3 linked regions of the Schizosaccharomyces pombe genome follow. Changing the gene in region 2 together with the main gene of any one other region gives a genetic interaction. Each region holds a gene or a part of one and is shown on either strand. Other genes may lie near its edges.

What was found.
Region 1: mutations in cds1 (region 2) and cdc27 impair growth when combined (synthetic growth defect), as found in Schizosaccharomyces pombe (3 studies listed by BioGRID, with this or other methods).
Region 3: mutations in cds1 (region 2) and dcd1 are lethal when combined (synthetic lethality), as found in Schizosaccharomyces pombe (2 studies listed by BioGRID, with this or other methods).

Annotation. Positions count from the first base shown.
Region 1 is NC_003423.3:1,061,593-1,065,429, forward strand, and holds cdc27 (DNA polymerase delta subunit Cdc27), read right to left. Parts: upstream 1,833-3,837; 5' UTR 1,786-1,832; coding exon 1,732-1,785; intron 1,683-1,731; coding exon 1,627-1,682; intron 1,571-1,626; coding exon 1,404-1,570; exon of another isoform or gene 1,350-1,403; coding exon 1,282-1,349; exon of another isoform or gene 1,226-1,281; coding exon 1,118-1,225; exon of another isoform or gene 1,044-1,117; coding exon 378-1,043; 3' UTR 126-377; downstream 1-125. Other genes in the region: fol1 (dihydropteroate synthase), read left to right, coding at 2,608-3,837.
Region 2 is NC_003421.2:739,627-743,463, reverse strand, and holds the start of cds1 (replication checkpoint kinase cds1), read left to right. Parts: upstream 1-2,125; 5' UTR 2,126-2,233; coding exon 2,234-2,491; exon of another isoform or gene 2,492-2,582; coding exon 2,583-2,631; exon of another isoform or gene 2,632-2,698; coding exon 2,699-2,730; exon of another isoform or gene 2,731-2,775; coding exon 2,776-2,860; exon of another isoform or gene 2,861-2,928; coding exon 2,929-3,188; intron 3,189-3,253; coding exon 3,254-3,463; intron 3,464-3,501; coding exon 3,502-3,710; exon of another isoform or gene 3,711-3,782; coding exon 3,783-3,837. Other genes in the region: ribosome biogenesis protein Urb1, read right to left, coding at 1-387, 430-460; cab5 (dephospho-CoA kinase), read right to left, coding at 961-1,634, 1,683-1,719. UniProt on the Schizosaccharomyces pombe protein: Has a role in the DNA replication-monitoring S/G2 checkpoint system. It is responsible for blocking mitosis in the S phase.
Region 3 is NC_003423.3:3,458,720-3,462,319, forward strand, and holds the start of dcd1 (deoxycytidylate deaminase), read right to left. Parts: upstream 1,601-3,600; 5' UTR 1,516-1,600; coding exon 1,196-1,515; exon of another isoform or gene 1,048-1,195; intron 1,004-1,047; coding exon 515-1,003; intron 476-514; coding exon 423-475; intron 386-422; coding exon 279-385; 3' UTR 138-278; coding exon of another isoform or gene 1-137. Other genes in the region: histidine--tRNA (His) ligase Hrs1, read left to right, coding at 1-137; protein Csi1, read left to right, coding at 2,721-3,600.

The sequences.
Region 1 (3,837 bases), on a different chromosome or scaffold from region 2:
TTTGACTAAATATGAAGTTCAACTTTCAAATTATGTGTTGTAGTTAACGCACATTAACGCATTGTGGTTCATTAATGTATGGAGTATTTAATACTTCTAATAAAAAAAAGAATCGATTCTTCTATGCTTTGAGGAAACATATTTATTTATGATATTTAAAATTAAAAGATGTATTGATAATTGATTTCGACTTCTCTTAGACTTACATAGTTGGTTGTGAATAGTGTAAACAAAACTAAAAACAGTAGATTAGGATTAAAGGTTGTACTAACATTAACAGTTTTTCTATATGAATAAAACTCCTGATAATAGCTTGCATGAGAATTGAAGGGACTTCGTGAACACATGTTTTAATACTATCGAAAATGAATAGTAACTTATTTCTTTCCAAAAAAGGACATAATAGACTTTTGTTGTGGTTTACTTTGTGCAGTATTCTTCTTCTTAGTTGCAATGTTTACAGTAGTCGGTTTGTTTCTAACAACATTTGAAGTACCAGTTGAGATGTTTTCATCTTCAGAAAATGATTCCCAGACTTCTTCTTCCTTAGTAACCAAGAATCCTTCTTCATCTTTCGTTGTCGCGTACTTTTTAACTTTTCTTTTCCCACGTCTCTTTCCACCGGATACGGATTTGATAATTTCCTGAGGTTCGTCAGGTGCAGCAGATTTTGCTTCGGTACCAATTTCCAATTGGAAATTATTAGAATCTAAATTATCATCTTCAGAATCGTGAACGCTAGTGGTAGATACTGATTCATCTTCTAGCTGCATAATATTTTTCAGATCATCGCGCTCTCTCTTTGCTTGCTCAGACAACTTCTCCTCCTTTGGCAAGAGAGGCTCCTTTTCTTTATGATTTTCAAGAGGAGCTTTTTTATTTTTACGAGATGAGTTTCCCTTTTGGTTCCTTGCATTACTGAAAATATCTTTCCCTTTAGTCTTTTCTGTACTACGTGTGTCAGTCTTATCGATTGTCGATGTCTTTGAGGGAACAGATAATTGGGGGGAATGAGTTGAAGGTGCCTTTTTCAAAACACGAGGCTACAATAAGTTAGTCTTCCGAAGACGGAAGGATCGAATGTCAAACAACGATTGTTGTGATATAAATTACTTACCACGGAATTTTCATTGAAAATAAATCCATACTTATCAGCATCTTCTTTTTTGTATAAAACATCTTTCTCTCTTATTTCATATACTGCAGGTAATAATTCGTCAAAATCCTTAATTAAATCAATTAGTTTGTAACAATATAAAATACAGCTTATCGAATACTTACACTTAATGGAGCAGATGAAAGAGCAAATATAACAGTTTTATACCCACTTTTCAATCTACTTTGTTTCTCTACAAATAGTTAGCGAATCTGCTATCGAATGATCGGAATTGACAATAACAAACCTTGTAGAGAAGACTTATCACACAAAATGTATTGCAAAACAGGAAAATTAGATATAGGTTGAGATTCCTCGTCAATTTCCAAATTAATTTCATCATCTATAGGTTGTCCATGAATAAGGTATATAGGATACAAAAAATCGTTGCCTTGATAAAACATATTAAGATATCTGAAAGTATGAATTATTAATAATAAAAATAAAAAATAATGCGTATTGTTCCTTACTCTTGTGCTTTTTCACTGGATATATCCAATTGCAGACTTAAATTATCTACAGTTACCTTTTATACAGTTAGACATTCAAATTCTTGTTGAAATTTCATATCTTACAAGTGAAGATTCATTGATAACTTTAATATCTAAGAAGTTTCTCCATTCCTCCATTTTTTTAGAAATTTCTTTTTCCGCTAAGTATTCCTTAGGAAAGTGGTATTTACGAGAATAAGAAGCAGTGTGTAAAATCAACGAAATTGAAAATTAGTGGGAACAATCCTAAGGTAGGCTAAGTACTGAAGCCAGCGCAGACGAAATATGTATGAAAGATTACATTTTCATTAATGGAGTATACATGCTTAACTACATTTACAATATGTAAAATATTTAAAATCTAAATATTGACATCGCATGTTCAATTACTGCTGCTATCCAGTTCATAGAAGTATGCTAATGAAAGATTTAAAATTGAATGGGAAGTTACTTCATCAACGCTGACAGAAATTGATTTAGTAATTTACGGCATTTTTTAGTAGAATGTTTTTCAAATTTTATTAATTTTGAACATGGCAATTTGATTTTTTTTCTCTACTAATTTCCTTCTGCTTTTAAGCTGATAGCGTAAGGTTGAGTTTCACAAAGTTGTTGGAATGTTTTATATTTAATCAAACTTGATTCTCCCTTATTTCTATTTTCGGGTATAATGATTTGTAGCACATTAATGTAGTCATCTGACAAATCTCTTATAATATTATTTCTCAGTATCGCTCTATGCTCCATAGAAATGATCAGAGTATATACATATTCCCAGCTGTATTCAATAATGAATTAAATTTAATAACAGTCAAATAATGCTACAATTCTTTATCCCATATGCCTTCATTTTAGATAATTGACATCAGGATACCGTAGGTATTGCTTATTCTTACTTATCATGGTGTTGGTCGCTTCAGCAAATACTTCCAATATAGATAATCAATTCTTTAAACTCTCATGAAAAGTTTAGTAAACCTTTGGGGAATCTATCCATTCATTAGAAATAATTCTCTCCATGGTTTTGCCAAAATACCTAGAATAGTCAGCACTATCCCCAGACAACTCCGCTTCTCATCTCTACGACATCCTACTAGACAAATGGACTTGATACATGACACTGTCGTAGTTGAAAATCTTAACACATTTGCTGTAGTGGGTCAAGACCAATGGAAAAGAAAGGAACCTCAGCCAGTGCAAATTGATGTATATATGAGAAACAATGTTCAGTTAGCTGGAGAAAAAGACGAGTTAAAATCAACGATTCATTACGGTATAGCTTCTAAGCTATTACGAAAAGAAATTGAAGGGTCTTTTTTTACAACCCCTAAAGATTTGGTCAATAAAATTGCAAGTTTATGTTTTGAAGACGTTATTGATACCTCGCATGTTTCTATTAAGCTTACTTTACCCAAATGTGTTTTAAGGTCTAAAAATGGATTGCACTATTATGCTGAGCGCGAACGCAATTCTACCAGTAACTTTGTAGATCGTATTGAATTCTCGGATTTGGAGTTAGCTACGATATTAGGAATTCACGCATTTGAACGACAAGAGAAGCAAAGAGTTTGCTTAAATATATCATTTGCAAATACGGAGGTCGAAGCTTTAGAGATCGCGCGCGCAATCGCCGAATATGTCGAACAATCTGCTTTCCTGACTATAGAAGCTTTGGTTGTCAATCTTTCAAAGTATCTTTGTTTTACAAAGAATCTAGACGATATAAGCATTAAAGCTGAGAAACCTAGTGCTATCACATTCGCCAATGCTTCTGCGGTGCAAATTTATCGAACACGGTCGTACTTTTTACAAGAGTCTCTGCATAAATACGAATCCACTAAGAACAAAATTGCTTATTTGTCTTTTGGTTCAAATATTGGTGACAAATTTGAGCAAATCCAAACAGCATTATCTATGTTGCATAAAATAGAGGGTATTCGTGTGTTGGATGTTTCCCCTTTGTACGAAACAGAGCCGATGTATTATAAAGACCAACCTTCTTTTTTGAACGGTGTTTGCAAAATTGAAACCAGAATGTCGCCTATCAATCTTTTAAGAGCTTGTCAATCCATTGAACAAGAAATGGGTCGAATCAAAACAATTTTAAAAGGACCAAGGTGTATAGATCTCGATATTGTCTTGTACGAAGATTGTGTTTATGAATCAGAAGTTTTGACTATTCCCCATTTA
Region 2 (3,837 bases):
GTGTACCAAGCCTAAGGAATGTAATGAAAAGAAGTAGTAAAGAGGACCGCTTTTTTGATATAGTGATTTTGAGACGCTTATTTCCTTTCCTAGAATTTTGAATTTGATTAGGTAGCTGGAGCATCTTTATAAAAATTTTACTGTTCCAGTCAATAGCTTGGAATACACGAACACATGCCAATCCATTATTCCAAGATGCCATTTTTTGAAGTAGAGAAAGCGTATGCAAAGGAGAATTGGATGTCAAATTCCGATATATCTGCTTCAAATGATGATCTAAAATTGCATCAATATAACGAAGGGCAGATTTATCGAACTCAACGGTCTTTAAAACTTTTTCCACATGAGCAGGATGCTCTAATAAAACCCTGCTCAATTCATCTATCTCTACATGGAGTTAGCATAATTGTAATGACTAAATTGACTCACCCTTATCCAAATCAATAGATCCAGATTCCATTTTGCCAGAAAATTGGCTACTGAACACTTACTGACAAGGTGTTCAAGTGATGGTGGATGCGAACATGTAAATTGTAAATACGTGAACAAATATATCAATCAAAAAATTAGCTAACCCAACGAAACTAACAAAAAAAATTTAATTATTCTTTGACATAAATATAAGTCACGCATTGTAGCAAAGATTGATTAATACAAGTTCAATACCCAAGTATACAGACAATGAAAGAAGGAACGCAATCGATTTCTTATTTAAAACCCAGAAATCTAAGCGAGAACCTCTACATTAATCATTATTGTAGTGTTCAGCTATTTGTATGCGCATGAAAAGATTTAATTTCTCATTTCAAATCATGATAAAACATATACTCGTGAATTTATATAGAAAGCTCGAGGCAAGATATTGAGATAAGTTATGAAAATGATCTAATTATAAGCAAAAACATTAAGACTATTGGCTTAAATAACAAACGAGGAAATTAAAGAATATGGAAAAAAGGATTATATATGTTTTCTGAATTCAGATACCTTTTTCTTCTGCGAGACAAAGGCAATAACTTGTAAAGTTATTTGCAATGGCGGTAGAATTAAACATAGTAAGGTAAAAAAATAGGAAGGTGTGATTAAAGGTAGGACATTATGTATGTTTTCATATAAGGTCTCAAGATCCGAATTATTTTCTATTACAATGTCCGCAAGCTGACACTTAAGTTCAAGAGGCATCTGCGCTTGTACTCGGTTTTCAGCATCCTCTGCAGTAAGCTCAGGATTACGTGCCAGCAAACGTTGCTTTTGAATGCTTTTATCGCAAGACACGCAGATCGTTTTCCAGCAAATAAATTGCATTTTAGCTTCAAAAAGCAAAGGAACGTCCAAAATAACTATGCTGTAACCCCGTACGTAACATCGAAGCAGTTCTTTGAGCATTTCCAAACGTACTGCTGGATGTATTATTGAATTCAAAAGTGACCTCTTTCCTGCGTCTTGAAATACTGCCTGGCCAAGCTTTGCTCGATTCAAAGTGCCATCTTCATGTAATACTTCATTACCGAACTCTTTCTGAATTTTTATTAAGCAAGGTGTATTCGGTTCTACCACCTTTCTAGCTAACACATCAGCATCGATAATTTTTATATGATATTTCTCTTGAAACTCGCGAGAAACTGTAGATTTCCCTTAACTAGGTTAACCACTATTAAACCAATTGTTATTTGATAACTTACCCGTGGCAATTGAGCCGGTTAAACCAAGAATCAGCATTATATTTCTTATTCCTTGCTTTGGTATAGAAGATTTTTGAATAATGGTAACAATTAAGGAGATCAGAAAACTATTTAATGCCGTAGAACAAAGTCTTCAATCGCGGAAGTCGAAGTTTGAAATACAAAGGAATGTTGACAGATGGCAACCTTCACGTATACCAAAAAAATATAAATAGGGATTACTACTACTTAACAATTAACATTTAATCCTCACTACGTATAACGTACAGTAAAGTAGGTGGATGAAACATTGTTTATATTACTCGTGCTTCGCGAAAAATCTGGTATTGCAACAGTTCGTTATTATTGTCTTATGATACATTTTATATCGTAAAATTTATAACGATGTTTAAAGCGAAGTCAGTAAATCATAAGCCCTCGTCTGACATGATAACTGCTTCTTTGGTCTTTTTACTTCTGTTAAAAGCTTGATCACTCATTTGCACGTTTATTTGTGTTTACTGATATACATGGTTAAAGAATTCATCCAGTTTTTCTGTTTTTAAGATACTATGGAAGAACCAGAAGAAGCTACGCAGGCTACTCAAGAGGCACCACTACATGTTAGTCAGAACATAGCCAAACAGGTGGTTAACAACGAAAATGTATTTATGAAATTGGTTATGACTCGCATGCTTGATGGTAAGACAGAAGTGATTCCTCTTACTACAGATGTGCACAATGGGTTTTGGAGATTTGGACGTCATAAATCTTGTGAAGTGGTTTTAAACGGACCTAGAGTTAGCAACTTTCATTTTGAAATCTATCAGGTATATAAAATAATAGTGGCCAGCTGAACTCGTTTAGTTTTAATTGAACTTCAATCTCTTTAAGACATAATTATCTAACGAAATGACCCAGGGGCATAGAAATGATTCCGATGAATCTGAGAATGTCGTTTTTTTACACGGTAAGTCTAAAGGATTAAAAAATCTTTTAAAGTCTTCTGCCTCTTCCACCTTTTCTAACAATTTCAGACCACTCTTCTAATGGAACATTTCTGAATTTTGTAAGCGAGAGCTTAATTCGTTTACAATTTACTGACGTCATTTAGGAACGGCTTGCCAAGAATAGTAGAACTATCTTGTCAAACGGAGATGAAATTCGAATTGGCCTAGGTGTGCCGAAAGATGAAATTTGTACGTCCTTTACACTGAAGGAGATTGTTGACGTAGAATTCACTTCAAGTTTGCTTACAGTCTTATAGCTTTTTTGTGCCAGGTACCAGTTAAACATTCACGAGATTCCCAGAAAAACATGATTAAATCCGAGAACAGTCATTACGAAATTATTCGTACACTTGGAAGTGGTACATTTGCAGTTGTCAAGCTAGCGGTAGAAGTGAATAGTGGCAAGTGGTATGCTATTAAAATTATCAACAAACGAAAAATCCTTTTGACAAGTTCGGAAAAGCGAGCTACTGAAATGTTTCAACGAGAAATTGATATATTAAAATCTTTGCACCATGTGAGTATCATTTTATGTTCACCTTTTTTTATACGAAAAACTCCTAGCTAACACTTATCTTTTAGCCAGGAGTTGTACAATGCCATGAAATTTTTGAAAATGATGACGAGTTATTTATTGTTATGGAATATGTTGAGGGTGGGGATCTTATGGATTTTTTAATTGCTAATGGCTCCATCGACGAACAAGACTGTAAACCTCTTCTCAAACAACTTTTAGAAACGCTTTTACATTTGCACAAGCAGGGTGTGACACATAGAGACATAAAACCCGAGGTATATCTTGTTTATTGATAAGAAAGTCTAACTTGTAGAACATTCTTATAACAAATGATTTCCATCTTAAAATATCTGATTTTGGCTTGGCTAAAGTTATTCATGGGACGGGAACCTTTTTAGAAACATTTTGCGGGACAATGGGTTATCTAGCACCGGAAGTTTTGAAGTCAAAAAACGTCAACTTGGACGGAGGTTATGATGATAAAGTTGATATATGGAGTTTGGGATGTGTTTTATATGTGATGTAAGTTTGTCGGCTTTAATCAATTAGCAATGAACCTTCATGCCTTAATTTTTTCCAATTACTAATTCACAGGCTTACTGCGTCTATTCCTTTTGCATCTTCGTCACAAGCAAAATGTATTGAGTTG
Region 3 (3,600 bases), on a different chromosome or scaffold from region 2:
TTTTGGGTCAAGATGAGTTTGCAAAGGGATCTGTTCGTATTAAACAAATGGGTTTAAAAGAAAATAGCGATGAAGGTCAGCTTGTGCCACGTGAGGAAATGGTATCAGTTTTGAAAAAGTTACTTAAATACGATTAAATATTCCTATAGCTCAATAATAATTATTGTATTATTTGATTGTTATCTCATCAATATTGTAAGTATTAAATAAAGATATTAAAATCGTATTTTCTGCAATCAAAAAGAGCGGTAATCTAAAAAGTAAGTTCTGTTATTAACTTAGAAAATGCTGTTTTCCGGAGGAATATATTGTCGTAATTGAACTCCTGCGGCTTGAAGGAGAGAAGCGGTATGGGAGTCCATGTTGTAAGACGTATGATAGACAACTGAGCATTAGTAAAAGATTAAAGAACTGAAACATACCTTCTTTAATCCCAAGCTGAGTAATCTTGACAGAACACGTAAGACAGGGACATCTTTCGACTGTTAGTAGCTTTATGTCTATATTTACATACGTATCACAGTATAATATTGCATTGTTTCCAACGCGTTCACGGCCAGCCTCTAAAAGAGCGTTTTCTTCGGCATGAAGACAAAGACAGGTATCAAGTTCTTTTCCACAGGAAGAAGCAGAATTGCAACGTGGACATCCGCCTTCATTACAGTTAGTGGCTCCTCTAGGTGTTCCATTGTAGCCTGTCGCAATAACACGATTTCCTCGCACAAGTACGCAACCGACGCGACGTTTCATACAATTGCTACGCTTCGCAGCCAGACTTGCCATTTCCATAAAGTACGAATCCCATGATGGGCGAAATCTATTGGGATTCAAAAGATCGGCTTTTTGAAGCTTCTCCCATAGATGAAGTTTAATATTGCTATCATTATTTATAAGTAAATTAGCCAATGCTCGGTGTCGAGTTCCAGCATTATCAGATTGAAATGCAGCCGCGTCTTGGATACTACAAAATTCTTCAAGTGTGGTATTCGCAAGAGAAGAATAACTATATGTCATCATTATTATTTCACGCAATATTCAGTTAATCATGAGGAGCTTATGTAACCGTGTAATTTCGAGCATGAAATGAATGAAACTAACAAGATATTAAGGTCCTTACACTGAACACATTGCGTGAAGAATAATGACAATGAATTTAAAGTTAGCAACAACATGTTGACATTGCAATATTACATACGTTTTGTAGCGATTGAACCTGAGCATAATTGGGGCATCAATATATACAAGCAAAAAGAACGGACGTTTGAGCAATGCACTTAACAAACGTGGACTATGAATTCCATTAATTACAAATCTTTCGCGCCATCTTGGAGTGAGATAGCTAATAAGATCGTCAACGCTGCCAAGGACTAAATCGCCAGTTCTATATATATATTCTCCATCCTCGTTTAGTTGTGGTAATCGAAAAATAGCATTGAAACCATGCTTTGTCTCAAGGTATTCAACAACGGCATCTTTTCCACTACATAATGGCCCTGTAAGACCAACAGTTGGCATATTTATTTGCTTAATAAATCAAACAAAGCTACTTAAGCTTAAGAAACGTATTTCAGTTTGATTATCTCCCCAAATAGTTAGAGATAGATCGGTTTTAACGTACTCACATACCTAATGATACTAACTATCAATACCAACAACGAGTTGCGAAAATGCTAACTTTCAATTTCGTAAAACTATGCTTCTATAATCTGTAATCTTTTTAAAAAATAAAATATATATTTAATGAGATTAAAAACTATTTGCTTCCAAATCTTCACGAATCCTTGAATATTTCAGATTTTACGTTTCACTGTACTGGACCAAGAATCTAAAAAATCCTTTTAGTGAATTCGAATAAAGTCGTTTTTGGTTTTAAGTGTATTGACCTCTCTTTTGCTGGTCACGCTAAAGTTTAGAGCACTCAAAAGTTGTACTTAAGTGCTGTGTACTTCAACAGCAACAACAATAAGATCATTAACTGTATATTGTTAAGGAGAAACTCGGAACAAACGCATTCAACTAACAATGAAACCATTTTTATCTAATTAATGTTCATCACATCAAATTTGATAATGAGCGCATTTCATGTAAACTCATGTGAAACGATGGAATCTGTCGAATAATATTTTTTATGTGCGAATATTCAGAATTCTTCTAAAAGTCCAGTAATTACATACTAATCGTTCGTAAAATTATGTTTACGGTTAGATTACTATTGCATCGTAGGCCTAGCATTAATTGTCAAGTCAGCAATTCAACAATGATATTTATATGTGGCACATATTCTTTTTCTCAACATCCTATTTAATGATATTGGAAAATTTTTTTGTTTTCGGGAAATTAAAACACTACAGAACTCAACTGGACTGAGGAAGAGGTTGAGTTATGAGCAGCTTCAGTAGTAAGTTAGAAGGTTAACTTCACGTACCAACTTAATTAATAATCGAGCTCACAGCAACATAAGTGATGATTGTTGGTGATTTAACGTATCATTAAAGCTAATTACAGACTACATAATAAGCATTAAGCCATTAACGTGTACTAGGTAATACTCACGACCGTACTGTAGAGCTCGGTAAGATCGTAATTTTGTCAAGTTTCCTGAGGTTTAATAACCCTTTGGTTGCAAATTATTGTTAATCACGATCTTGTAACTCCTATAATTATTGAAGTCAGTTTGCAAAGAATTTAGAATTTAAATCACCAAATAATTTGGGCATGAGATGAGTTTCAATCCTGCAGCTGGACTGCTGGGAAAATTAAAGAAATTATGGAATGATACAAAAAACGATTATTTGGAATGGGAGCGAAGCCAACAAGGTCAAATTAGTGAGTCAGTGGTTAAGAATCACTCACCCTCAAAGCGAAAGCGACGGCCATCGAAGGAGCCTTCCCTATCACCTAAGCGAAGAAAAAATATTTTAAATGATCAAAAAAAAGATGAAGAGTCAATACCTAATGCTGGTACACAATCACAAAATTTTACTCACTTAAGTGCATCTAAAATTCGTATCTCAGATGAGGATCGAATTAAGCCATTGGTAGATTTAAATCAAGATCACTCTTTTGACATGGCATACTTAACACCTGCAAGCGCTCCCCCTCCGCGATTTCGATTTGTACCTCCAAAATCTGACGCGAAATCTCATTCGGCTCCTAGATCGCTAGAAGGTGTTACTAGCTTATCTGATTCTCATTTCAATTCCCTTGAAGCAAACTTAAAAGCGATTTCGAAAGATAGCAACAATAAAGCGCACAATAATCGTTATGATGAGTCTTCGCTTACGAACCCTGAATTTTCCATCCTTGTTGAGCGTTTAAAAAGTATTGAAGAAAATTTACAAAGCCTGCAGGAAAGGATTTCTCATTGTGAGCGTTCAGTTAGTCTTAGCCCATCTTTTGCTCCACCATCTAACGTTAAAAGTCCAGTCCAACAGCACCGGTCTTTTGTTTCAAGTTCAGCAAGAGCAAAAAAGAATTGGGGGAGACAGTCGAATAGTCCGAATAGTAATAAAAAAACCGATCATGCATACCCAGGAGCTTCAATGAACACTGAAAGGGGTTTAATTCAAAACTTAGAAGATTCAGATGATATCCATGAAG